Linked DNA regions of Mus musculus. The protein of the gene in region 5 interacts with the protein of the main gene of each other region in a pairwise test. Links are inferred from orthologs where the notes say so. Each region holds a gene or a part of one and is shown on either strand. Other genes may lie near its edges.

Region 1 (3,500 bases), on a different chromosome or scaffold from region 5:
GGCTGAAAGTCTCACCTTTAGTCCACTAGGCCGTTTGGTAATCAGCTCCATCTTGCATCATTCCCAGGGTGCTTTCAGTCTTACCCCTCCTCAGTGTAGTGGCCTGTGGGGCCTGCTGTGTATAACAAAAAGGCACTCAAAGTGACTGCCTAAGCTTTTAGGAACCCTGTGAAAGGTCAAGAAGGAATGAATGTGTTTTATTATGCTAGAGAGATTTTTAAAATATGTCTGGTTGGTTTTGTTAAATATTAAAGTGAGAATTTGGCTAATTTTGATTGTAGAATGTGTTTGGGGTTGGGGGCTGTCCCCTGTGACAAACACTGGGAAGAAGCAGTTGAAGTGAGGTAGTTTGTTTTGTCACATGGTTTCCAGCTGGTGGACTACTACTGGGTAAAGGCCTGTGGTGTGGCAGGGAGGGTGCAGCAGAGAGCTGGTCCTCATGGATAGCTGCTGTCTCACTTCTGCCTGCCACCCCAAAGGCAAATGAGAACAGGGAGTTTGAGCTATAAATTGTTTTTTATTTCAGAACTGGTAATCTGGGGCTACATCTAATCTTCAGCCAGCAAATTATATGGGGTTGGAGAGAACAGAAACAAGGTGGTTGAGACTAGGCCGGGGCCTAGCAAACACAGAAGTGGATGCTCACAGTCAGCTATTGGATGGATCACAGGGACCCCAATGGAGGAGCTAGAGAAAGTATCCAAGGAGCTAAAGAGATCTGCAACCCTATCGGTGGAACAACATTATGAACTAACCAGTACCCCGGAGCTCTTGACTCTAGCTGCATATGTATCAAAAGATGGCCTAGTCGGCCATCACTGGAAAGAGAGGCCCATTGGTCAGGCAAACTTTATATGCCCCAGTACAGGGGAACGCCAGGGCCAAAAAGGGGGAGTGGGTGGGTAGGGGAGTGGGGGGTGGTGTGGGGGACTTTTGGGATAGCATTGGAAATGTAACTGAAGAAAATACGTAATAAAAAAAAAAAAAGAAGAAAGAAACAAGGTGGTTGATCCTTTCAGAGCTCAGATTTGCCTCTGGTCAGATAGTCAGCAATTGAGAGTGGGCCAAATGACTATGTCTTGTTATTCCTTTCATTCATCTCCTAGTCCTGGTTTCAAACAGTTCTTGAAACAGAATAATTAGTGTCTGCTGGTATCAGGGTTATATTAACAAGAGCTCTGGTCTTCTGTGGTTGAGGTTAACTCTGAACAAACAATCAGTAGTGTGTGCTGTAGGCTATTAGTAGGGTGTACATGCAGATTTCTTTGTCCAGTATGAGAGTACAAGTATGTCTTCTTAATACACATATAAAAGTCCCCTATCTTAGCATCAGGAAGTCTCTTCAAATGTACTGCACCGAATAGCCCATTGAGCTACTGGCTCATTAGCACCATGATAACCTTCATCAGTGTCACCAGCTGATGAAGGCTTTTGGGTACACTTCATACCTAAGCCGTAGCATAGGAATTAAAGCTGAATAGTATAATAAATAATGAATAACTTATAATGAATAAGTATAACTTTATAAATGAATAATAGGAATTGTTTTGTTTTTAATGGTTTTTAAAATATAGAGTTAATGACTTCATATTTTAGCACTGACTTCTGATTTTCATTTTTTGTTTTTTCCTCTTCTAAGGCGGACTTGGAGGACTTGCAGGTCTTAGCAGCTTGGGTTTAAACACCACCAACTTCTCTGAACTCCAGAGCCAAATGCAGCGGCAACTTTTGTCTAACCCTGAAATGATGGTCCAGATCATGGAAAATCCCTTTGTCCAGAGCATGCTCTCAAATCCTGACCTGATGCGGCAATTGATTATGGCCAATCCACAGATGCAACAGTTGATACAGAGAAATCCAGAGATTAGTCATATGCTTAATAATCCAGATATAATGAGACAAGTATGTAGAAAAGTAGTTCTTTTTTTACTTAAACTAAAGGGTGTTTATGTGTGTGTGTGTGTGTGTGTGTATGTATGTAAATATAAAATGTTATTGCCAGAGATTGCCTTGTGTATTTTTTATAAAGTTAGAGAGAATCCCAACCATTATTTAGGGAAACTCAGCAAAACAATATTAATTTTGTTTGTTTGAGCTCTGAGTTTTCTGCTATGCATGAAAATTCTTTACAAACTCTCCTTAGAGACAGGCTTTTTGTGCCGGTTTCTCCTTTGGTGGTGGAGGTGGTGGGGGTCCTGGAATGCAGGGTGGAGAGGTGATGTCAGCACCTTGCTCCTTACACGTTTCAAATAAAACAGAAAACCATTTTTAGGCGGGAAAAACCCATCGAAATATATTGTATGAAAAAAAATTTCAGTGAAAACATTAGATTGGGTTGGTGGCACACAGCTTTATGGTACACAGCTTTGATCCCAGTACCTGGCAGGCAGAGGCAGGAGATCTCTTGGGCTTGATTAAGGTCAGCCTGGTCTACATTGTGAGTTCTAGAACAGCAAGGACTATGTAAGAGAAATCCTGCCTCAAAAATTGTGAGGGGAGGTGGGGATGGGGGGTGGGCAGTGTAGGTTTAAGTCCATTTTTGGAGATGGCCTGTTTGTGATAGCCTATGAATATATTTTGTGTTTAGAGATGAAATACACCAGGAATCTTAAGTACTTTACTAATTTAAATATAGCAGAATAGGTTTAAAACTCTTAATTAGCCTTTTTGGCTCTAGAATTGGATGATACCTCACCCTTTAAAATAGAACTAGTGTTTCCCAGAACTGAGCAGATGAGATCAGGCCAAGGCAGGCAGCACTGCGCAGTCGGAGTCCTGATTAAAAAAAACAGCTGTTTAAAGTTCAGTGTGTCTGCCTGGAACTTAGCACACGTGCCTCCCACAGGCATTAGCTGAATGCAGAAGGAGTTCCTTGAATAGTTCAGTGCTTTCTTTTAAACTGGAGATTTCTTTCTTAGACACTGGAACTTGCGAGAAATCCAGCGATGATGCAGGAAATGATGAGAAACCAGGACCGAGCCTTGAGCAACCTAGAAAGTATTCCTGGGGGCTATAATGCCTTACGGCGCATGTACACCGATATCCAGGAGCCTATGCTGAATGCTGCTCAAGAACAGGTGAGCACTCGTGCCCAGGCTCAGTCTGTGACTAAGGGTACTGCTATGTGCAGAATGTGGCTGTACTGAAAAAAATCATTCTGTAATTGATTTTTTTTCTTTTTATTACAGTTTGGTGGTAATCCATTTGCGTCCTTAGTGAGCAGTTCGTCCTCAGCAGAAGGGACTCAGCCTTCTCGAACAGAAAATAGGGATCCGCTCCCCAACCCGTGGGCTCCGCAGACTTCCCAGAGCTCACCAGCCTCCGGTACCACTGGCAGCACCACTAACACCATGAGCACCTCTGGTGGCACTGCCACCAGTACCCCTGCTGGACAGAGCACCTCGGGCCCAAGCTTGGTGCCTGGCGCAGGAGGTATGTGTGCCTCGCATTGATTACAAGACTGGTGCTGAAACTATTTATGTATCTGTGTGCATCCCTTT
Region 2 (3,500 bases), on a different chromosome or scaffold from region 5:
TTTTTTTCAGGATGAATTTTTTTTGGAATTTAAAAAAAATGATTTATTTATTTATTGTGCATTGGTGTTTTGCCTGCATGTGTTTCTGTGTGAAGATGTCAGATCTTGGAGTTACAGATAGTTGTGAGCTGCCATGTGGGTACTGGGATTTGAACCCTGGTCCTCTGGAAGAGCTACCAGTACCCTCAACCGCTGAGCCATCTCTCCAGTCCCAAGTCTTTGCTTTTTTTGAACTGTTAGTAATTGCTTTAACGCCAGTGGCTGCAGAGAAAAGACCAGATGAAAATATGTCCATGTGTCTCCCACAGCAGTGGCTATTTTAATTTTACTATTTTTGGTTAATATTGAGTTTTCAAAATTTCCACTATTAACTTATATCACTTTTATACCACAAAACTATCTATCTATCTATCTATCTATCTATCTATCTATCTATCTATCTATCTATCTATCTATAGACAATAACTATGAGCTTGCTGCTGAGGCATGAGCCTGCAATCCCAATACTCAGGGGACAGAGGTTGGAGGGCTGTGAATTAAAAGCACTTATTAATTAAAACAGTTTCATACAATATACTTTGATCATATTTTTCCTCTTCCAACTCTTCTCAGATTCTTCTCAACTCCCTCCCCACCTAACTTTGTGTTCTTTCTCTCTTAAAAAAGAAACAAACAAACAAACAAAAACACCAAAAGCCCAAAACCAAAACCAACCAGTCAAACAAGAAAAACAACAAAAAACAAAAAACCGTGAAAATTAAAACAGTAGCAAGCAAGTCAGAAAATCAGGTTGGGTGTGGTAGTGCTCACCATTAATCCCAGTATCCTGGAAGCAGAAGTGGGTGGAACTCTGTGAGTTTGACACCAGCCTGGTCTACAGAGTGAGCCAGGACAGTACTACATAGTGAGACCCTGGAGAGATCAAGGCACGTGGGGTGGGGGAGAACAATAATACAAAAAAACAAAAAACAAAAAAAACCAAAAACCAAAAAACAAAAAAACAAAAAAAAAGTCAAACAAAACAGAGGAAACATGGAGACATGGAGTTTATTTTTTGTTGGCTGTCTGCTTGTGGGCATGGAACTCAATAAACATAGCGACACCATTGGAGAAAGCTGTTTGCCCCTTTCCCAGCGAATATCAGTTGTAAATAACTGTTTGGTTAGGGGTGGGGCTTTGTGTCCACTTCCCTTCTCTGTGCTGGGATTTTGCCTGGTTTGAATCAGTGTGGGTCTTGTATGTCCTATGTCTATGAATTCATATATGTAAAGATTATGACACACTCAATGGCAAGGCTTTCAGGCCAGCCTGGGCTACATAGTGATACTACCTTAAAAAAAAAAAGTTAGCATTTACAAAAAGCTAGAAAAAGAAACCAAGCATAGACCAGAAAGGCGAGCAAAGGCTTATGCTTTGAGTTGTTCCCTTGATGGTGACAGCTTTGAGCCCCATGCAGAGGCCGCTCCTGTTGGGATTACAGTGCAGGCAAAGCGAAGGACCATAGGGCTAAGCGTGCTCAGTGTGCACACAGGAAAAGGAGGCTGGCCCCGGTGGCCCTTCCCCCTCTTCTCCGCTCTCATGCTGTGGATCTACTCCTCAGGACTTGTGCCGAGAGCTCCATGCCAAGGTAGAGGTGGTGGATGAGGAGCGCTATGATATTGAAGCCAAATGCCTCCACAACACCAGAGAGGTAGGCCCTGGAGGTGGGGGATGGGACCGCCTGGGCGGGCACTTGTGAGGCTCTCCTGGGTCTACGGAGCCTGGGAGGCAGGCTCTCAGCATCCACCCCAACACCACAGGTCTGGAGATGGGCAGGAAGGATAGCCACACATGAAAAGAACAAACTTCCTCCCCACCTGCCACGTGAGCTCTTCAGAAGCTGCCGGCTTCCCTCACCCACACAAGCAATCAGATGTCTGTTAATGACATCTTACGTTTGTGAAGGGCTTTCAAGTGCAGTTGAATCCTTTGATCCTCCCTACACGCCTGCGGGTGACACGGGGGCTATTACCTGACCCTGACAAATGAGGACATGCAGACTCACAAAGGCTAAGCACTTGCTTGGGCTTGGGTCACAAAATGGGGGTCCCAGTATGCACACTGTGCTCTGTGCTCCAGTTCCCACTCCACGGGACTCAGCCCTTCATTGTGGAGTGTGTGGGCATTAGGACCAACCATGGGCTGCTTCTGAGCATTGGCCCAAGGTGAGCAGGCACTTCCGTACCCTACCCTGCTTTCGAGGGTGCTGTGTGATGCCATTAAGCTCCAGAGAACTCCCTTGCAGACCACACCCTGGGATTATCAGGGTGTAGGATTTAGGGCTCCTCTACCTGCTGTGTCAGTCAAGGCTCAGCTGCTGTGCAGGCCCTGGGCAGGGTTGAGTACTAAGAGCAAAGATGGAGGGAAGGAGAAAGCAGTTTACACCCCACACAAGGCTTCCAAATGGGAGTAAAGGTTTATTGGCTTATCATTTATTTGTGACTTGGTTATGGGGAAGAGGCAAGGTTAACTAGTGGGCGTAATCTGTAAAAGTTCATTTAGAACATTTAGCGTGTGTAGTGATTGCTTGGAAAAGGGTAGGAGATTCTGAGCACCCCAGATGGTCTAGCCTGGAGCCCGGAGGACTTGTAGGATGGTTCTAGCTGGAAGCCCAGTGGTTGGATCCTCAGGGTGAGAACTCTAGGTCAGAGCCTGGCTCCTTTGCTCCCCCAGATCAAGGACCTGAAGCTGAAGGTGCTGGACCTCCGTGGGAAGTTCAAGCGTCCTCCCCTGCGCCGGGTCCGTGTCTCAGCCGATGCCATGCTCCGAGCCCTACTGGGCTCTAAGCACAAGGTGTCCATGGATCTGCGGGCCAACCTCAAGTCTGTGAAGAAAGAAGACACAGAAAAGGTGAGGGCCCCTCTCCTCAGACCCGCCTACTGGCCTCTATCTGCCACTTCTTACATTGCCTGAGGCGCTCTAGTCAGTGTGTGAATCAGGATATTCTAGGATCCCCTAGGAGGCCAGTGTCAGAAGAGAGACTACTGGCTGCTTCCAGTCTGAGGGGACAATGGGATGAGAGAAAGGCTGACTGGGAAATTAAAACTTGCTTCCCATATCAGTTAAGGGGTAACCATTACCCCTGTCACTTCAGCTTCTCGTTGTGGCTATAGGAACATGAGTGCATAGAAATTGGAGAACCGAGTTCAATTAACTTGCCTAGCAAACAACTACTTCAAATTTGTTGGTCTCACAGAACATGTTTAGAGCTGACAGGCTGTGAGGAGCATGGTGAGAGAGCAATTTATCTGGCCCAGAGAGCTTAATAAAGACAAACAGGCCAAGCCAGTATGCTGACAAAATTGAAAACAAGTTAAATGAATCAGGAGAGGCTTCTTGGAGGAGGTGACCTTGAACCAACTGCAGGGTGTCCCACAGGAGGGTGTTGTGGATCCTGGAGGAGAGGTTGGCCTGTCATATACTGGGAACCAGTTTTGTGACCCTGTGACAGTTACCTAGAC
Region 3 (4,246 bases), on a different chromosome or scaffold from region 5:
AGGCAAACAGGTTGATTTTTTTTTTGATACCTTGTTGAGACTTGGGATATAAAACAGCTGTCTACACATGAGCAGTTCCATAAGATGTGATCAGTGCTGAATACGCTTTTCATTAGGCTTACGTAAAAGCATTTTGCAGCAGTGGAGTGAAGTATCCACACACAGCTAGTGAGAGTGTAAGCCGAAGAGAAGCAGCTCTGCCTCATGTGCCCATGTGCTCATGCTCACTTGTCAAGCTGCTCGATCAACTTTTAAATTCTACTTTTGAAATTATGAAAAAGTATATCTAAAGATACTCAGATGTGTATTAAAGTAATATATTAAAGTAATATAAACCACGTGAGTTATGTTGAAAAGTCATAGAATGGTTAAGTTATAGAATCAAAGTAGGTTATTCTGCAGCTATGGACATGTTTATTAAAGTGCCATAATTTAGAAATTTGCTTATACAAAATGTATTTCTGAGGTTGGAGAGACAGCTCAGCGGTTGGGCACTGGCTGCTCCTGCAGAGGACCTGTGCTCAGTTTCAGTACCCCCTGGCACCTCACAACTGCCTCTAACTCCAGCTCCAAGAGACTAGATGTCCTTTTCTGGACTCTAAGGCAACAGGCACACATGGTACACGTGAATATATGCAGGAAAACACTCAAACACATAAAACAATTTCTAAAAGAATGTATTTGCAACCCATATAATTCTGTATCCATCTTCCCTCATATTAAAAAGTAAATTATATATAGATAAATTATATATAGATTTTGAGTCTGTGGGTATAAAAAGCACAAACACGGGCTGGCAAGATGACTCAGCAGTTAAGAGCACTAACTGCTCTTCCGAAGGTCCTGAGTTCAAATCCCAGCAACCACATGGTGGCTCACAACCACCGATAATGAGATCTGACGCCCTCTTCTGGTGTATCTGAAGACAGCTACGGTGTACTTATGTATAATATAATAATAAATCTTTGGGCTGGAGCGAGCAGAGATCCAAAAACAAAAATTAAATCCCCAACAACCACATGAAGGCTCACAACCATCTGTACAGCTACAGTATACTCATATACATGAAGTAAATAAAGAAATCTAAAAAAAGAAAAAAAGAAAAAGCACAAACACACCTGTCAACTGTCCTATGTAATCAAAATATGGCCAGAAGAGCCAAGAAGTGCGCCCGGGTAGGTTCACTTTTGGTTTTTGTTTTAAGTAAAGCCTGAAGCATTGCCACAGAAGCACACTTGGCAGGTTCAAGACGAGTCAACGATGTTGACGATGCATGTGCAAAGAGTTTAAATCTAAACCTAATTTCAGACTTAATTTTCTGGTTCCGGTTCACGAGTCCAGCCGGACCGCGGCAGGTACGGACTACAACTCCCAGCATGCAAGAGGTTCTTACCCACACTCCCGGGCTCCTGACGCGTACATTTCCCAGAAAGCCGAGCGATCACGCTGGCGCGCGCGCGTGCGCTCTGGCGCCAGTAGTCTCTTTTCATTTGGGTTTGACCTACAGCCGCCCGGGAAAAGATGGCCGCGCCTGCAGCGTCCGGACTGTCTCGACAGGTAGAAGCTGGCGGGAGGCTCCCTCCCAGGGTTGCGGGTCCCCGGCTCCCATCGCCGCGTGTGAGGCCGTGGCTGAGGGGTCAGGCAGCCCGCCCAGGGTCGTGGGGCCCGGCGACTGCAGGCAGCGTGGGGCGGATCCGCGTTTCGTCCCCGTGGGGAGTGGGCACGGATTTCTCTGTCTTGACCTTGACATCCAGGACTCACTGCATAGCGGAGCAGCTGGCAAGGGCATGGGAGAGAGCACTGGGGAGAGTACATGCCTGTCCTTGCTGGTAAACCTAAGGGCTGCCTGCTGCTTAGGATTTTGAGTGTTGGAAAAGCGCATCCCCTGTGTTTATAAAGAAGGGGGGAAGGGCTAAACGTCTCCCCTTTGGCTGGCAGCTGGTGAGTGATGGCGAGCTTGCAACAGGCCAAGTCCAGCAGAACCTGGAATTGGGTGGAAAAAAATACGTGCCTGGGTCATCTGCCATGATAATTTTGTATCGACAGCCGTCATGGTTTTCATCTGCACCATACAGAATTATTACTAAGGCGTTAGAAAGTTTTTTAACCCTCATAGCCAGTTCCAATCGAGTACATTCTAGTCTAGAGAGAGTAGTATATGACTGTGACCTGTGCCCTCGCAAAACGCTTTTTAAACTGGATTCCAGGCTGCTCCAGTGACAGACACAGTGCCTGAAGCCTGGTGCTGTATCAAGAGATCTTTGGTCTTAGATAGCATTTCAGTTCCTAAGCAAGTAGGTTTCCTTGAATTAAGACTGGACTCATTTCATGTTCATTAAAGTTTTTCTCAAAGGTGATGTAATATAAATCCTCCGCTTTCATAAAGCATTCTTCCCAAATGTGATAAAGCTCTTAATTATTTTGAAAAATTCCACTTTGGGAAGTTAGCAGCTTTTCTCTCTCAGCTATCCAGGGAGGAAGGTGTTGGGAAGGCAGTTTCTGGAGGGATTTGGGGTGATTCTCAATAGGGAGTGTATAACAAAGAGCAGCTCCCACTCATATAACCTGTGTGATGATAGAAAGGAATTGCGCAAGTATTTGATTAGATTATTTTAACACATTGCTAAGCTAATGCAGAAACCCTGTCTGATCTGTTTTCTTTTGTTCTAAAGGTTCGGAGCTTCAGTACATCTGTGGTCAGGCCCTTTGCCAAGCTTGTAAGGGTATGTCAGCTTACTTATTTGTGTGTGTGTGTTTGGAAAACAATGAAAGAGTGAGTTGAACAGAAATACGTTGAAGTGTGTAATTAATAACCTTGGTCTGCAAGGGTGGCAGTTCCCAGATGAGTGCCTGGGTGCAGGGGATGCTGTTGGGCGCCTGTCACACAGGGTGGGCTCAACCCTAGACTTTAATGTTCTAAAAATAACTTGTTTGGGCCCAGCAAGAGCTCAGCAGGTAAGGGCTGGATGGCAGGCCTGAGGGTGTGAGTTCAATCCCTGGAACCCGGAGGGGGAAAGGAAAGAAAGACCTGAAAGTTTTCTGTTCTGTTCTCTGCGTGTAGTGCGTGCGCGCGCACACACACACACACACACACACACACACACACACACACTGTATGTATAAAAGACTCTTAAATTGTTTTTCCTAGCAATCGTCCATAGACAAGCTAGCCTTTCATTCTTTTTTTTATGAAGGAACTGTTTCTAACAAAAGAAAGTGAAGTGCCCAGATTCTCACACAGTTGATACTCTGTGGCAACTCCGAGTTGCTCAGATGTGAGGCCTGCTTGCAGCCTGCACCTTGTTTCCCCAAGCAGAATCAGTACTGACAGGTACCATTCCCAGGCACCAAGAGTCTCACCATTGATTGCAGAGGTCTATTGGCCTATTCTTTTTAAACCAGAAGTCTGACTGACCTCTGGCCCAAGACAGATTGAAGTATGGCTGCACGTGCATTTATTCTATAGTTCATTGTTACTAATTCATGCATGGCAGAATCTGAAGATATCCTGGGCTGCTGTATGCTCTCGGGCAACCAGGCCAGTGATCTGCACTCATGGTCCCCTTAGGAATAGCAGAATACAATGCTCTAGGGACGTTGGGTGGAACTTACAGCAACACACGCTACGCTTAATAACAGCACCAGATTCCTTCAGCCTCTGTGAGTGGAGCCATTTTATTCCTCCTGAGAACTTCATAAAACACCATGACCGTGATAGGGACACATCCACATGTGCACTTCTTACTGCTGCCCCTGCATTGCTAATCTTCACAACTGCCTGCCGTCGTACTAAACTCCTGTGCTTAGGGATGGCATTGTCACTGAGATCAAAGAAAGCCAAAGCTTGCTGTAACATTTGCAGGTAGGGAGAGCTGGGAGAGACGCTGGACACTGCCCTCTCTGCCCCTCTAAAGGTAGAGGGTCCTGGCCAGGGAGACGGCCCTAGTTTGTGAGTTCTCATTTAGGACTGCACCTTGGCTTGGCAGTGGGAATGCAGTCTTGGAGTTGGGGGTAATTCTGTTCCTGACTTAGCTGCCTCACTCCCCCCCTCTTACTCTTGTTTCCAGCCCCCTGTTCAGGTCTACGGCATCGAAGGCCGCTATGCAACCGCCCTGTACTCTGCTGCATCTAAGGAGAAGAAGCTGGACCAGGTGGAGAAGGAGCTGCTGCGCGTAGGGGTGAGCAGCTCTCTGTTGGGCTTGTTCCTGTGTCCGGTCCTAACGGGGTACAGCCTATAAAAAGAACC
Region 4 (4,300 bases), on a different chromosome or scaffold from region 5:
ACAGGTGAGAAGGAAACACAGCAGGAAGTGGAGGTTAGCCTCATGGTTGCTGACTGCTGAAAGGATGGAGCTTCTGGGCTCACAGTTTTCCTACCTCTCCCTTCCCAAGCAGGTGGGATGGACCATATAGACTGCGTCCAGCGCCAGGATCTCACTAAAAATGTCACCTTGCTCTTTGTGTGGATTTGAGCCCTTTTTTTGTTTGTTTGTTTGTATCTTGCTTAATCTCTTATTCAGTGAGAGAAACAGTAGCTGGCTTGGAAGTCCTGTTTCAGCCTCCTGGAGCTGAGGAGTCTTAGCTTTTAGCGAATCCTGAGCTTGGAGTGGGGCTTGCCCTTAGTAGATGAACAGGAGCCTGGTCAAGAGGAGTGTGCATGGCTCCCTCCCTGGCCAGCTTCCATAGGACACCCTCCCTGCCCACCCCTGGCAATAGCTGGCCTGCCTCCTATCTCTGAGGTCACAGCTTTGTTTCCTAATGGAAAGGAGCTGGGAAACGTGGCTCTGGCCAGCGAGGGAGAAGGGGCCCTTCTGTGTCCCAGTAAAGACCCAATTGTTACTGAAACCAAACTGGGCTGCCATTCTCGATTACTCCCATTGCTCTTCTGCTCTTCACTTCTCAGGTGCCACGTTTTAGCCCAGAACAAAAGCTGCTGTCGGACTGATTTATACTCCAGATTTTACTTATGGGGTCTGAAGTGTTTTTTCCCCTCCGGGACTGCCCCCTGGGGCTCAAAGTTACCACAGAAACCTCCAGGCCTCCTTCCCTTCGTCCCTGTCCTTTGATTCTGGTTAGGGGTGGTCTCCAGGTACCGCTGGGGCAGTTTCCCCGAGGTTTCTCAGTCCACCTGCCCACTGGAGGACCAGCTGGCTGGAAGGATTTGCCAGCCAGCACCGTCCAGGAGGCCACAGCTACAAGTTACTTCTAGGAGCGCCTGTGGGCGGAGGCTGGCAGTTCTGAAGGTGGTGGTGGTTCGCTGCGTGGCTCCCTCCAGCCTCTTTCATCTGAACCGTGGCGCGCTCGTGCCTCTAGTTAATCAGCCTTCCAAGCCACACCAAGAGTCATTTCCCGGGGGTAGGCTCTGCTGGAGCCTGGAAACTAGGAGCTGCCTGCAGTCTTGGGGTCTCCTCTGCCTGTGAGCTGCTCCTTCCAGTCCAAGGGTTAGGGCCAGAAAGGAGGACAACTTTGGAGTCAAAAGACTGACCACTGTGGTTAGCACCTGAGAGAACCTTCAGTTTCTTCTCTTGCTACGCCACCCCCTTCGGGTACAAGTCCCAAAATGGTTTGCCAGTTTTCGTTCCCGTAACTGGAGCGTGGGGAAGCCCCTCAACCCTTCCAGAGAGCCCATCCCGCCTCAGGACTTGAAGGCACACTTCACCAGGTGAGTGCAGTTCGTGCAGTTCCCGGTGGCAACGCCTGGAGTCCCTCCCCGCCCCCCACCCCGCCCCCTCCCCGCCTCCGGCCGCTGTGGCGCAGACCTTGACTCACGAGCTGCAAGAGTCGTAAAGGGTCCCCAAGCCTCAGTGCCGGGTAAGCAAGGCAGCGGGTCGCAGCCCCCTCCTGGGCGGGCCTTCGCGTCCCGCCCCCGGCCACCACTCGACACCCTCTGCCTGACGTCAAGGGGTTGGGGGCGGAGAGCGGCGGTGGCGGCGGCTGCAGCGGAGAAAGAACCGGCGCCCGGCGCGGTGGAGCGCCGAATCCGAGCTCAGGGGCGCCGAGAGCCGTGCTGAGACCGAGGGGCGGTGGCACGGGACAGCCTTAGCGTGCTGGCGGGCGGGCGCAGTCTGGAGCGGCGCGGGGGCAGGGGAGGACGGTGGCCGGAGTCAAACGCGAGGGCAGCGCCCAGGGATTGGAGCTGCACGAAAGAGGTGAGTGAGGCCGGAGCGGTGGGGCCCCGGGGCCGCTGCTTTGTCCCCTTGCTTGGGTAGGGGCTAGCGCGCGCGCTAGAGGACAGCGTCTAGGGGTGCAGGGCGGGGCGACAGCAAAGACAGCTGTCCGATCCGGGTCCCTCTTGAGTCCGCCGCGGGCTGCCCAGTGGCGATCGGCATCAAGGCAAGCAGTGCCTGCAGCTCCACTGGCCGGAGCAGCGGGAGCCTGGGGGTACGGACAGCGCTAGGGGCAGTGGGGGACCCTTGGGCTGTCCAGCGCGCGGTCCGAATCTTTGCCAGGCTCGCGAACTGCTCGGGTTCCCCCCACCTCGACGGAAAGTTAGGGGCGGGCTTGGACCGTGGCCGATGTTGTGGGATCGGATTTCCCTAGCGCGGCCCCCCGCCCTCCCGTTCTGCTCCGGAGGCGGGCTGGCACTGAGAACCAGCCCCCTAGCCAAAGCTCCGCCGCCCGGTCCCTCTCTGGAGCGCCGCAATCCACGACCGGGTGTGCAAGTGTGGGGTGCAAATCCTGGTCCTGCACCCCTCCATCCCCTTGGCTGTCCGTGTCCCTTGCTTCGGGAAGAGCTTGGGGGTTGGGTCACCGCTACGCCTGCAGATTCTCGGAGCGCACCACCGGGTTTTGACCCCAGCCTAGGGTAATTGGCAGAGAGGAAACTGAGGGTGTGTCAGGGGGGACTGCTCCGGGGAAGGCAGCCCCAGCCCCCCGCCCTTCCCGCGCGGAGGTTCTTGGCCGACAGGGGGCGTCCGCAAGCCCGGCTTTGCCACGCTCCCAGCGCTGCCGCTTTGTTTGCATTCAAATCCCCGGAGCTGGGGGAGGGGAGAGTCCACAGTAGGGAGACCGAGACCGGGTCTTGGCTAGGAACCTTTGTTTTGGGGTGCAATCCTCAGATTCTGCATCTCTGTTCCCAGCCCCTAGCGTCTAGATTAGTGGAGATCCGTTCCGTTTGCCTACTGCCTAGTGCATGGTCCCCGAGGTGCAATCCCGGAGTTAAGAACGTTCGTCAGAGCCGGGGAGGAGGGGACGCAGCCCTTGACGATCATTTGTGGGCATCCCCTGTTGTCCAGGAGAACCCCGCTTCGGCCTCCCCAACCCATTTCACTTCCCTCCACGATCCCGCTCTCGCGGAGGCGAGGAGATTCCCAGACAGAAGCCTGGAACTGACTCGTGGCCCGGTCGCCTCTCTGCGGGAGGGTCAGTGTCTTGTAGAAGGCTGTTGGAGAAACAGGACTGGTCCTGGTCATTTCCACGCCCATCCCACCCACTTCCTGCCTCCCTCTTGGGCAACAAAGGGGCCTCGGAAGCTGGGCCCATTTGGTTCCCGGCCCCACTCCTACTCCAGCCCTGCTGATGTGGAACCGGGTTTGGGCTCTGCCCGGCTATTGTCTGCGCTGGGGGAGGGGACGGGCTGGGGCCGGGAACTCTACACGCTGCCTGCTTCACCAAGTCCCCCACTGAAGCTCTTTGCCCAACCGGCTGCCTGCGGCTGCTGAATAAGGGGTATATCTCCCCGAATTAGGTCTTGGGGCTGGCCTGGGTCCCACTGGTAGCAAGCCCTGTTTTTTATGGTTATTGTAAGAAACTCTGAAACCTTTAAGGCCAGAAGGAGCCAATGAGGGGGAGTCCCTCTTTTATTTTTTTCCACACAACTCCCTGTTGAAGGGAGGGAGTAGGGATGGCCTGGAGGCCACAGGCGGCTTTTGATGACTGCCCACGCCTAGTGCTTGCTGACTAAGTTCCTCTCCTTGCTCTTCTGGGAGACCCCCAGGGCTCTTGTGGGCAGAGGCCAGTTGCAGGATCAGGAGGAGATGTAAAGGCTCTGGGGGAGGTTTGTTCCAGTGTGCGTCCTGTGTTGCTTGTCTCTTGGTGCGGGCCCCCTTCCGGTCTGTGATGCTGACCAGTTTCTTTTCCTTCAGCAGGGCTGCTGGACTGAAGTTTAGACCCTGGGTGTCTGCCATGGCCCCACACTGGGCTGTCTGGCTGCTGGCAGCAGGGCTGTGGGGCCTGGGCATCGGGGCTGAGATGTGGTGGAACCTTGTGCCCCGGAAGACAGTATCTTCTGGGGGTGAGTGCCTGAAGCATGGGAGGCAGGGCCAGAGGGAGGCTGGGATAGACTGCTGGGGGAAGGGCGAGGAGGGGAGTGATGCTTGCTTGCAGGAAGGAGCTGCTGCTGAGGAATTACCCCCAAGCATGCACCTTTACACCGATATGTGTGGCTGTGGCTTTCTAAGAAACGCGAGTGGCCCCAGGGGCCCAGAACTGGTAGTGCTGGTCTAGACCTGGGCTTTGCCCCCTTCTGACACTGGGATAACTTTATGGGATCTCTTACCAGCGCACCCCCACCCTCACCCAGACCTGGCTGGCCTGGTGTGCAAGGGAGGTAGTTTCTGAATCAACCTCCCTGTTCCTCACTTG
Region 5 (4,178 bases):
TATTTAACTGCCTCAGTCACCCAACCTCTTTCTTCTCATGTGCCAGATGTTAAAGACAGAGGAGGAAGAGTGCAATAGTACTCAAGCCTCAGCTGTTGAAATGTTTTTATTGGGGCTCACTGTTCTGGGTTATTATTTATTACTAGACTGGCAAAGCCTAACCCCTTAGGTTTTTACAGGAAGTATGCATATTTTTATATAAAAACAGTTGTGTCTAACCCACATTTGGCTGTGTTTGTTGCCTCAAAAAAAAAAAAATTGCAGCTGTTAGAACTTTTCCTCATTTGTCTCTTACGTTAAAGGCCTTGCTGGAGAGGATGGAGCACAGAACAGCCTTGACAGTCTGTAATTAGTGTACAAATATTTTAATAGCATAAAGTAAGTATATTCCTTTTATTTTGAAACAAAATGGTCAGACACTGCCTTTCATGTGTTTGTTGCCTGTGGCACTCTTTTTAAAAAAGACTGTTACATATTAAAATAGTGTACATATATATATATATATAAATATAAATATTACCTCTTTGTGTACAGTTGTGATAGACCAGACTGAAAATTTTATTTTTTGTGTGCTTTTTATAAAAAAAAAATTAATACACTAAAGAGAATCTTGCTGTGATTGTAATGTACCTATGTAACTTATTTACTTTTGAATGTTCTGTATCTTAAGACCTTTTATTAAATAAGGTTTTAAAAAAAATTCATTGTTGAATACCACATTCTTATAGGGGTGTTTTTGCCGTCTGGGACTGATAGGCCTTGTTTTGCTTGAAGAGAACTTACCCGCCTTTTCGGGGCCATAAACATTCTGTTTTGCTATCTTGTATACTCAGTAAGGATAAGAAGGCAATATGTTTGCAGTTTGCCTGGCTACAAAGGTAAGTAGTCACGGGGTTTTGTGTACACACACACACACACACACACACACACACACACACACACTTTAAACAAGAAAGCCAAGTCAGACACTCACAGGAACCAGTAGATGGAATTCTCTTTCCTAGTTTTGTGGGGAGGAACCAAGTAGTTGCAGAGTGGGATCAGGTGGTTCCCGGAAGTCAGAGTTAAAGACTGAATTCATAGAATGGATGAGCAATATGAGATAAGTCCGTCGTGGTAGATGCGTATCAATAAAGCCAGCTTAAATCCACGGCAAAATTAAATAAAGCATGCGTAGCAATAGCTAAGAAAGAATCAGGGAAGGCGGGGGGGGGGGTGTAAAAAGAAATGCGCCGTCATAGAATAGACTCCTCAAACCCCTTCTTGGCACCATAGCAACCGCCAGATCCTCTGGAGCCCGCGTATCTCGCGTCGTCATGGACACAGTTGTCACGGTGACACTGGGGGAGACAAGCGGACCGGTTCCGCCCTCCACTGCAGCTGCACGCCGGCCGTTGCGGGAGCGCGCGGACATAAGCGCTAGGCAGAGCTGCCTCCAGCCGAGTTTCTCCCCCATCCCGTGCTTCCTGCCGCTTGGGTTCCCGGTGCTCGGAGTGCCGCCTCTCCCCACGTAGCCAAGCCACGGCCTCGCGTGACCCTCAGCCCGCCGGCGTGCCGGGGAGAGGTGGGAGGAGCTGCCACGCCCCGCGACCGCACCCAGCCATCTCCCGCCCGGAGTCATCAGTCTTGAGCCCACCTTGCTCCCTCTCTTTAAGCGGTGACGCCAGACACAGCTGCAGCCAGTTCAGCCCTCCCTGCCCGGACCAAAGGGGGCGACATTCGAGTGATAGGCGGAGTGTCCCGTGGCTCCCGACCCTGACTTGGGACCCGGAAGGGACAAGAAGGAACTCTGGTGTCTTTTGGTAATTGTGGTTGCCTGAAGCTTGTCGCCCCCTGGCCTACCGGGGGAGGAGAGCATGTTGTATTGTCCTAGGCCCTATAGCCTCGTGAGCCAGTCCAAGCAGTGTCTGTAGAACTGGCACTTTTAATAGTTGGGTGAAATGGCTATGACACTATTGGAAGACTGGTGCAGGGGAATGGATGTGAACTCTCAGAGAGCTCTGTTGGTCTGGGGGATCCCTGTGAACTGTGATGAGACCGAAATTGAAGAGACCCTCCAAGCTGCGATGCCCCAGGTATCCTATCGAGTGCTGGGGAGAATGTTCTGGAGGGAAGAAAATGCTAAAGCAGCCTTGTTAGAGCTCACTGGGGCAGTGGATTACTCCCTGATACCCAGGGAGATGCCAGGCAAAGGAGGGCTCTGGAAAGTGGTGTTTAAACCCCCCACTTCCGACGCAGTTTTTTTGGAAAGGCTGCACCTCTTTCTAGCTAGGGAAGGGTGGACCGTGCAAGATGTTGCTCGTGTGCTTGGGTTTCAGAACCCTGCTCCAGCTCCAGGCCCGGAAATGCCAGCAGAGATGCTCAACTATATTTTGGATAATGTTATTCAACCTCTTGTTGAGTCCATATGGTATAAGAAGCTGACGTTATTCTCCGGGAAGGACATTCCCGGGCCTGGCGAGGAAACCTTTGATTCCTGGCTGGAGCACTCAAATGAAATCATAGAGGAATGGCAGGTGTCGGATATAGAAAAGAGACGGCGGTTGATGGAGAGTTTGAGAGGCCCCGCTGCTGACGTCATCCGCATCCTCAAGACCAACAACGCCGCCATAACGACCGCAGAATGCCTGAAGGCTCTTGAGCAGGTCTTTGGGAGTGTGGAGAGCTCTAGAGATGCACAGGTCAGATTTCTGAACACTTACCAGAACCCAGGAGAAAAGTTATCTTCGTATGTTATCCGTCTGGAGCCTCTGCTGCAAAAGGTAGTAGACAAGGGGGTCATTGATAAAGATAACGTGAACCAGGCTCGCTTGGAGCAGGTCATCGCTGGGGCTAACCACAGTGGGGCCCTCCGAAGGCAGTTGTGGCTGGCCGGGGCTGAGGAAGGGCCTGCACCCAACCTCTTCCAGTTACTGGTGCAGATTCGAGAGGAGGAAGCCAAGAAGGAGGAGGAGGAGGCCGAGGCCGCCCTCTTGCAGCTAGGCCTGGAGGGGCACTTCTGAGTCCTAGGACTGGCCAGGCTGCTTTTGATATACCTGTGACGTTTTAGTAAGCCTGCCACTCAAAGCAAGCACCCAGCCTCCTCCTGGCTTGGTTTTGTTTCCTGAGGGATGGGATGGGGAAGTCAGGCCCGCATATTCCTGTAACATTCACAGAAGTGTGTGATTGTCAGGAGCTGCAACGGTAAAGGTGGTCCTTACTGCCTAAAGTGAATGCTTGATGCCAGCCCTCCTGGCGACATCTCTGACAGCTGTGCACAAACGTGAAGCTGTGACACTTCCTGTCAAGGTGGTTGCGAAGCTGCAGGTTCTGATGCTAACCGCGCACCAGGTTCACAGACTGTACAGTACAAACTCTTGTGTTTGTTACTAACACTGTGGATGGTTTTACTGTAAATTGTTCCCAATTTGTATCGATGGAAAGAATGTGATTCTATTAGAAGATATTACTCATCTTGAAAAATGCGGATTTCTAATTCCTCACGGCTCAACGCTGGAATCAGTTTCCCTGAAAAGGATCCTCGGACTAAAAGTGGCATGTTAGAAAAAACCAGGCCTTTACCGAGCTGCACAATCAGTTCCTCACGGTGGAAGACAGAAGTCCTAGGGGGAGTGGCCGTGGCCAGTCTACACTTCCCCCACTTCAAAGACTAGTCATTTAATAATTGGTCAGCGCTAAGGGTTCTAAGTTTGAAGTTATTGAATAGATGTATACAAATAAAAATTTGAAAATTCTCATTTTTCCTGACACGTATAAAATTTTTCAGTTAATTTAGCTCCGTATATTTTTCTCCTAACAAGGACTTTTGTTCATGTAAAACAAAACAAAACAAAACAAAAATTACCCTCCTTGCTATGAATTTAAGTTGCAGTGTCACCTATACATCTTGGTTGGGTGGTTCCTTGGTTGTTTTGTCACAGTCCCACTCTGTAGCTGAGGCTGGCCTGAAATTCACTCTGTAGCCCAGGCTGACCTCAAACTTGCAGCGGTCCTGGGATTACAGGTTTGAGCCACTACCCCTAGCTATTTCTTGTAGATACTGTCTCACTGTGTAGCATGGGCTACTGCTCTTGAACCTGTGATCCTTCTGCCTACCTCTTGGGGGCTGAGATTCTAGGCAGACACTACTACATCTACCTTTCAGTGAGTTCAATTTCCACATGACTTCCTCAAGGCAA
Region 6 (3,500 bases), on a different chromosome or scaffold from region 5:
GGACAAGTGCAGTCCTGGTGCTCAGCTACTTGGTTCAGCTGTTTGGAATGCACCAAAAATAGGGAAGATGTATAAGATAGGCCAAATTTTTGCATCTGTGTATGGTTTGCATGCACGTGCATATGTGTATTTACAGACACGTGAATGCATGCGCATGTGTGAGCGTGTGCATGTAGAAGGCAGAGCATGACATCAGGTATTTTTCTTGGTTGCTCTCTATCCTATTTACTGAGATTGCTTCACGCCAAAGCTGAGCTTGCCTAATTGCCGAGTCTTAACTAGCCATCTCTCTCCGTTGGATCTCTGAACTCTGGATTACACATGAGCCACCATTTTATATGGTTAGCTTTTCTATGAGTGCTACAAGATCTGAACAGTGGTCCTCAGACCTGTGCAGGAAGCACTACAGCCAACAAGCCATCACCCGAGGTCCATGATGTAAGAAAAATTTTAAACCTAGACAAGCTTTTGCCAGGCTGGCAAAATTGCTCAGTGGGTAAAGGCGCTTGCTGTCAAGCCTACCAGAATGGGTTTGATCCCTGGGACTCACAGGGTGGAGTCAGAGAGCCAGCTTCTGTAAGTTGTCCTCTGACCTCCATATGTATGTTCTAGCATGTGCCCCTCAAACTTCCACACATTCCATTAATCAATATGATTTTAAATATGAAAGACATACTGATATTCATGTACAGTGAGTGTTCTGAGAAGTTGGCCTACTGTTGTCAGAAATGGCTGACTTCCTTGAGAGATTTGAGATCCAGTCCAAATTTATAAGATCCAGATTTCTACCATGGTCCCCAGGCTGTTGCCTCTGTACGGTTAGTATTCCGTTCTGCAATGTAAACTTCTCGGAGTCAAGCCTTGGAATTTGCGATGCTGTATTTGTGATGCTGGAATTTGAGGTGCTGTAACTCTCTTGATGCGAATGGGAAAACGTGCGCACTCTCAGAGAGGCCGTGTGAGTGTATGTGCCATGTTCTTTGTGTCTGTGCCTTCAGCCTGCAGCCACCTGTCATGAGAAGGTTGTAAGTGTCTGGAAAGACCCCAGCGAGTCTCTCGGCATGACCGTCGGAGGGGGAGCATCCCACAGGGAATGGGACTTGCCCATCTATGTCATCAGTGTTGAACCCGGCGGAGTCATAAGCAGAGACGGGAGAATAAAAACAGGTACAAACTCAAGAGAATAAAGGCGCTGGGGTGGCAGAGCCTGGGGCGGAGCTAGGAGCTCGCTGTTGAGTTCCTTAATTGCTCTCCCAGAGTCAAGGAGAGCATGTCAGAGGGAACTGGCCATGACTGCTGTGTCCCTTTGAGCAGGATGAGCACGAGTGTAGCAGTAGTCTAGGCTCACCCCTCTTAGTGCATGGAAGTAGGCATGAGGCAGCTTTGCTAGGGAAGCTAGAGTCCCTGGACTTTCCAGGCTGAGCAGACAGCCACTACACCCATGAACAAGGTGCCGCTAAGGCACAATTTAGTTCCACGCAATCTAACAGCCCTAAGGATTCTGTGGATTGTACCATTTGGTGGGGCTAAATGGGGTGAATCTATTGAGAGATCTTGATTCAATGGTATAGTTAAATATCATTAGTGGGACTTTGTTCCTTGGTGAGAAATGGACCTCTCTTAGCCACTCATGTTCTGGGCTCCTCTACATAAAGGAAAGTACCCAGTTTACCTTGTGAGTACGTGTTCTCAATAACGCTGTTCAAGCACATGAAGAGGTCACCTAGGTAAAGGAACAGTTGTGCTTTTGAAGGGCTCAGATTTAAGACAGAAAAAAGTCTCTCAAATACATGCACTTGAGTGTGGCATAGTATATATAGGATTTAGGCAGACAATCAAAGGTGGTTTTTTTTTTTCTTTTTTCTTTTGTCTTAAGTCAGCAAGCATTTGAGGATACCCCTTGTCATTTTCCTCCTGACTACAATTATTCTGTGTGAAAAAAGATGATATATAAGAAGCAAGACAAAAAAACAAATAACAACAACAACAAAAACCCGAGAGATAGTTGAAAGACAAGCCATCGAGGGCAGGGAGATCCATCTTAAATTCTCCTGCTGCTCAGCAAGCACCCGGGGTGAAGAATAAGCTCTGACAAGAAGTGACATTGTAGCATGTCACATATAGAAGCAGTTTTGCACAGAGTAGGTGCTTAGCTAATGCGACACACAGAGATGTCTTGACTAGAAATGATAACTATACACCTCTGTGAAAGCTCAGGTTCAGGGCCATTCTTTATCTGCCCTGGGCTCCTGTGCCAGACACTAACTCCTGCTTCGGTCCCTGTTTGTACATAGCAGGCTCTCTGCGGGCACTGGAGCCTTATGCCAACTGCTCTCATTGTGTGCTCAAGAAACTAGGAAACTAAAAGAGTGAGATTGCAGCTTGTCTTTGGTTAAGTAGTCAAGGAAGCTATTTAAGTCAGGCAACAGATGAACGTCACTAGGCCATTGTTAGAGACTCCCAACAAGCCATTCCCACATGCTCTACCATCTGCTAAAGGGGACCCAGTCTCGTGTCTCTATGAGCTGAAGATATGCGCCTCTCCTCACCCTGCCCCTGTGCCCGGTCAGCCGCTGTCCTGTCACACGGAGCAGAATCCCATTTGCACTCAGTGAGGTTGCTTTTGCTTCTCTGGCCTCAGGTGACATTTTATTGAATGTGAATGGGATTGAGCTCACAGAGGTCAGCCGGACAGAGGCCGTTGCCATACTGAAGAGCGCACCCTCCTCAGTGGTACTCAAAGCCTTGGAAGTCAAGGAACAGGAGGCCCAGGAAGACTGCAGCCCAGCAGCCCTGGACTCCAACCACAACGTGACCCCGCCTGGTGACTGGTCCCCATCCTGGGTCATGTGGCTGGAATTACCACAGTGAGTCCCAATTCAACACCCCAATGGATTCTATTTCTTAATCCACTTTCACTGTCTTGGGCCAATTTATGGGCACTAGCATCTTGCTAGGACCCAGTCTTCTCTGTGGGACTGTTGGGAATAACTGTCTTCTGTTGGCAAATGAAAATCCCTATAGAAATCTTAGGGTAGAGGTGGAAGTCTAGAAAGAGAAGCTTCTAGATATTCTTGAAGTGTTTACAGTTACCAGATGGTTCATGTAGCAGGGGGTTCAGCTGACTGACAGACATTCAGCCTGTGTTTCCACACTCATGAGCTGAGTTGCATCTGCTCACACCAAGCTTCACCTTTGCATGGGTATGAGTGGGAGCTGCAGACCGGCTGTGGTCCTACTCTGAGGCTTCCAGAAGCTCTGACTATACGCACAGCAGCGCAGCAAAACATCATGGCTTCAGAGAGTTACGTGTCTGCTAGCTGGGGATGCTTCTCACAACATCTCTTTTCAGTGACTCCTCTTGGAAAGTCCTTTAGGAAGCAACTAGGGTACCATTTTTCTGAGGTATAGCAGGAGAGCTCCACAAAATGGCTCTGAACATGAACTGACTAGTTAAAATGGACAGATAAATTTGATGTTTGCTTCCTTGGACTAGAGCA
Region 7 (3,734 bases), on a different chromosome or scaffold from region 5:
GTGCTCCCTCAGCGTTCCGCTTTGCTTTTTTTTCTCCCTCTTCCCTGTGCCAGGCCAACCCACGGGATCCTGGTTCTCTCGCCAGGCCCGCGACAGAGTGCGCTCGGGCTCCGGCATGCGCAGAGTTGTGGTGAGGGACTTAGGTCGGGTGTGCTTGGGATGCGCTGAGCTGTGCACGCTGCGTGAGAACCTGGACCGCCCTGCGAGCTAACCTGAGGTGGGGCCAGCCATTCTGCCGCCGCTTGTCCCTTTGTACTTCTCCATCTCCTCAGAGCTGGGGTAGAGAGTTGTGCTGATGACCCTGACTGTTCTTCAAACCCTGCTCAGAGCAGTGGTGAGGGGTAACCGTGATGTTACTTCATCTCACAGCTCCTCGGCATCCCACAGGTCTCCCCACTGTGTCCTCAGAGTCTTTCTGAACGCGGAGGGTGGCGAAGGGCATTGTGGGGGCGTTATGTAAAAGCAGGACCCCAACCGACAGGCTCCCCCTTGGGTCCTCGCGCTACTGGGCACGCGATGCTTTACTACGAGGATGCTAGAAAAGGTTCTAGCGCGGGAAACTTGAACCTTATGGATGTTTTGTTGTTGTTGCTCCTGCGCATGCCTCGTTCTGCCCTGTGGCTATTTGATTGTATCCAATCTTACAGATTACAAGAGCGACATTTTGCGGTACAGAAGTGACAATGCAGCTTCCCCAGAAACCTCCCGGAGTAATGTCATGCCTGTTTTTAATCTGGGAAAAGGGGACCCCTAGATAAGATCGAGCAAGATTTAAAAGGTCGACCTGTGCGGGCCAGTGGTGGCGCACGCCTTTAATCCCAGCACTTGGGAGGCAGAAGCTGGCAGATTTCTGAGATCGAGGCCAGTCTGGTCTACAGAGTGAGTTCCAGGACAGCCAGGGCTATACAGAGAAACCCTGTCTCGAAAAAAAAAGGGGGGGGGGTGTCGACCTTATATTTCCTGTATGTGTTAGCGGAATGTTTTCAGAGAGAGCCTGGCATTTTTGTTTGTAGGAAGATGGGAGTTGAATACAGAACCCATTAACAACTGTCTTGTAGAATATTTTTTTCCTGTTACCCTTTTTCTTTTCTGTGTTATTGATAGAATCTAGAATTCTCAAATTTGAAACAAGCATTCTACACAGATTCATATCTACTATGCCCTCATGAAATTTTATTAACATCATGACAGGATCTGTTGTTCCTGGGGTCTGTTTTACCCATCCCATCGTGACAGGATCTGTTGTTATTCCTGGGGTCCCTTTTACCCATGAGGCCCGGGCTCCACAGAATCCTAACTATGAAGTCAGTTTTGGGATGGGAGGCCCATTTTAGTTCTAGGCTGCTTTCCCATCTCAGCGGGCCCCCAGAGGTGGTGCTGGTCATCTTCACAATAGCTACCTGAATGGTTGGATCGCTTGCTTGTCACATCCTTGCCTTGCCCAGTCTTCATTTTCTTGTTTCTCTCACAGGCATGTCTAGGCCATCCTTCATCGAATTTACCCCAGCGGCTGACTCCAGTGACCTCTGGAAGGATGGGCAGCAGCAACCACAGCAGGAGAAAGCAGAGCCTGTCCTGGACGGGGCTGCTGCCCGGGCTTTCTATGAGGCTCTAATCGCAGATGACAGTAGTTCCTCTAAGCCCCAGAGAGCTGAACCTATGAGGGAGAGGAAGAAGAAGAGAAGAAGAGTGACTAGGGAGCCTGCAGCAGCAGGAGTCCCCAGACAAGGAAGAGCACTTGAGGATGAAGACAGGATGGCCCAGTGGATCCTGCTGGCAGCCCAGAATGGGGATCTGACAGAACTCCGGAGGCTGCTAGAACCCCAAGAGGCAGGGGGAGCTGGAGGGAATATCAATGCTCGTGATGCCTTCTGGTGGACTCCCTTGATGTGTGCTGCCCGAGCAGGCCAGGGCGCCGCTGTGCGCTATCTCCTGGGCCGAGGAGCTGCCTGGGTTGGAGTCTGTGACCTGGGAGGCAGAGATGCTGCCCAGCTGGCTGAAGAAGCAGGCTTCCCTGAGGTAGCCCGTATGGTCAGAGAGAGTCATGGAGAGACAAGGAGCCCTGAGAACCAGAACCGGTGAGGAGGGAGCCTTCACTTACACCCATCTTTATTGTGTTCTTCCTTTCCTGGGCACCTCATACTAAGGGCCCACAGCAGCTAAAGGGGGCTATTCATCCTCTGGCATATTCAGTCATAGAGTAACAATGGGCGTGGTCTTTGTGCATTTGAATCTTGGTTCCATTTATTTGCAGTGCCAGCCTAAAGTCTGCAAATCTCAGTCCTTGTCTGAGAATTGGGGCTAAGACTTTTTCCTCAAAGGGGTGTTAAGATACAGTAGGTTAATGTGGAAAGAGATGGGGTAGGATGGGATGGTGCTTGTCACACAGTTTGCACTTTATAAATGCCAGCACTACTCATTATTCCTGAGAGCTTGAGGCCTACCTGACAGTATTCCAAATATTCCCTACTGGGAAGACCCTGGGGCCCCTTTCCAAGACAAGATACAACCAAAAGATGCTGCTGACATTGGGAGAAAGGCAAAAAGTACTTTGCTCTGCTCTGCCTGGTGCCTGAACAACTTGAGGCTCTGTTCATCTTTTTTTTTCCTCCCCTATAACATATTTCTTTCTCTGCAGATCTACCCCCTCCTCGTCCCAGTTCTGTGAGGACTGTGGTGCCCACTTTGAAGACTCCAACCACCACACATCTACTGCTCACCTGCTGTCACTGTCCAGGAGACCCCAGCCCTCCAACCTTCCCCTTGGGGTGCCCACTTCCAGTCCTGGCTTCAGGCTACTGCTGAGAGGTGGCTGGGAACCAGGAATGGGGCTAGGACCCCGGGGTGAAGGCCGTGCCAACCCTATCCCCACTATCCTCAAGAGGGACCAGGAAGGATTGGGTTATAGATCCCCACCCCAACCCCGAGTCACACACTTTGCAGCGCGGGATACCCGGGCTGTGTCTGGGAGAGAGAGAGTCCCTCGAGTTGCCACACTGAGTCAGAGGGAGAACAGAAGGCAAGAAGAAAAGGGCAGAGCCTGGGAGCGAGATCTAAGACTGTACATGAACCTCGAGTTCTGACTGATATGGACTGGCCCTGGTCTGTCACTCGCTGGACTTGGGCCTCTGACTTGGACACTTGGACTTCCGAACCCTTAGGCCTTAGCTGTTGGGCTCTGATTTTAGAGAGAAGGGCGGAGAGTTGGGAGATAAATAAACTTCCTTCCTTGTGGTTTGTTTACTTTCTTGAATGATATAGTAGGGAATTGGAACAAATCTGAGAGTCACATAGAAGTCTCACCTGAGCCAAAAGGACAAGCTCTCCGGGTGACAAAAGAGAGTCCCCAGTCCTGCTGGCTGCATTCTACCTGCTCCTTGAATCCCCGCCCCCACACACACATTAGGAATTGCCCCACTTTGTAAAACACCCCTCTGAGTATGTGTCTAGGCCAGTCAAGTCAGTGACAAGTATCACAAACCAAGTGTGCTATGTGTTGGAGAGGGGCGGGCATAGCTTGGTTAGAGCACCTGCCTAACACTGGGAAGACCCTGGGTGGGGCCCCTCTCCAAGACAAGATGCATCCAAAAGATGCTGCTGACATTGGGAGAAAAGCCAAAGATACTTTGCTCTGCTCTGCCTGATACAAACCTTGAACTTGAGGAAGCCAGCTGTGATGAAGTGTAATACCTTGTGGTAGGGAAGTTAAAAGTCCCCAGAGAGGAAGTAGAGTC

What was found.
Region 1: the proteins of Pnma1 (region 5) and Ubqln1 interact in binary tests that used the Homo sapiens proteins (3 or more experiments, as listed by UniProt). The two-hybrid records come from large-scale screens. The link is inferred for Mus musculus from reciprocal best matches to the Homo sapiens genes PNMA1 and UBQLN1.
Region 2: the proteins of Pnma1 (region 5) and Tnni1 interact in binary tests that used the Homo sapiens proteins (3 or more experiments, as listed by UniProt). The two-hybrid records come from large-scale screens. The link is inferred for Mus musculus from reciprocal best matches to the Homo sapiens genes PNMA1 and TNNI1.
Region 3: the proteins of Pnma1 (region 5) and Atp5o interact in binary tests that used the Homo sapiens proteins (3 or more experiments, as listed by UniProt). The two-hybrid records come from large-scale screens. The link is inferred for Mus musculus from reciprocal best matches to the Homo sapiens genes PNMA1 and ATP5PO.
Region 4: the proteins of Pnma1 (region 5) and Sema4c interact in binary tests that used the Homo sapiens proteins (3 or more experiments, as listed by UniProt). The two-hybrid records come from large-scale screens. The link is inferred for Mus musculus from reciprocal best matches to the Homo sapiens genes PNMA1 and SEMA4C.
Region 6: the proteins of Pnma1 (region 5) and Lnx1 interact in binary tests that used the Homo sapiens proteins (3 or more experiments, as listed by UniProt). The two-hybrid records come from large-scale screens. The link is inferred for Mus musculus from reciprocal best matches to the Homo sapiens genes PNMA1 and LNX1.
Region 7: the proteins of Pnma1 (region 5) and Gpank1 interact in binary tests that used the Homo sapiens proteins (3 or more experiments, as listed by UniProt). The two-hybrid records come from large-scale screens. The link is inferred for Mus musculus from reciprocal best matches to the Homo sapiens genes PNMA1 and GPANK1.

What each region holds. Positions count from the first base shown.
Region 1 is NC_000079.6:58,191,654-58,195,153, reverse strand, and holds part of Ubqln1 (ubiquilin-1), read left to right. Parts: intron 1-1,639; coding exon 1,640-1,902; intron 1,903-2,918; coding exon 2,919-3,077; intron 3,078-3,188; coding exon 3,189-3,432; intron 3,433-3,500. UniProt on the Homo sapiens protein: Plays an important role in the regulation of different protein degradation mechanisms and pathways including ubiquitin-proteasome system (UPS), autophagy and endoplasmic reticulum-associated protein degradation (ERAD) pathway.
Region 2 is NC_000067.6:135,805,921-135,809,420, forward strand, and holds part of Tnni1 (troponin I, slow skeletal muscle), read left to right. Parts: intron 1-1,600; coding exon 1,601-1,690; intron 1,691-2,712; coding exon 2,713-2,889; intron 2,890-3,500. UniProt on the Homo sapiens protein: Troponin I is the inhibitory subunit of troponin, the thin filament regulatory complex which confers calcium-sensitivity to striated muscle actomyosin ATPase activity.
Region 3 is NC_000082.6:91,928,831-91,933,076, reverse strand, and holds the start of Atp5o (ATP synthase subunit O, mitochondrial precursor), read left to right. Parts: upstream 1-1,446; 5' UTR 1,447-1,521; coding exon 1,522-1,557; intron 1,558-2,672; coding exon 2,673-2,723; intron 2,724-4,067; coding exon 4,068-4,178; intron 4,179-4,246. UniProt on the Homo sapiens protein: Subunit OSCP, of the mitochondrial membrane ATP synthase complex (F(1)F(0) ATP synthase or Complex V) that produces ATP from ADP in the presence of a proton gradient across the membrane which is generated by electron transport complexes of the respiratory chain.
Region 4 is NC_000067.6:36,555,582-36,559,881, reverse strand, and holds the start of Sema4c (semaphorin-4C precursor), read left to right. Parts: upstream 1-1,500; 5' UTR 1,501-1,866; exon of another isoform or gene 1,867-2,232; coding exon of another isoform or gene 2,233-2,522; intron 2,523-2,796; exon of another isoform or gene 2,797-3,079; intron 3,080-3,096; exon of another isoform or gene 3,097-3,385; intron 3,386-3,801; exon of another isoform or gene 3,802-3,804; coding exon of another isoform or gene 3,805-3,841; coding exon 3,842-3,950; intron 3,951-4,300.
Region 5 is NC_000078.6:84,145,690-84,149,867, reverse strand, and holds Pnma1 (paraneoplastic antigen Ma1 homolog), read left to right. Parts: upstream 1-1,378; 5' UTR 1,379-1,940; coding exon 1,941-3,002; 3' UTR 3,003-3,737; downstream 3,738-4,178.
Region 6 is NC_000071.6:74,605,404-74,608,903, reverse strand, and holds part of Lnx1 (E3 ubiquitin-protein ligase LNX), read left to right. Parts: exon of another isoform or gene 1-998; coding exon 999-1,167; intron 1,168-2,641; coding exon 2,642-2,867; intron 2,868-3,500.
Region 7 is NC_000083.6:35,121,582-35,125,315, forward strand, and holds Gpank1 (G patch domain and ankyrin repeat-containing protein 1 isoform 1 precursor), read left to right. Parts: upstream 1-1,370; 5' UTR 1,371-1,404; coding exon 1,405-2,078; intron 2,079-2,638; coding exon 2,639-3,083; 3' UTR 3,084-3,234; downstream 3,235-3,734.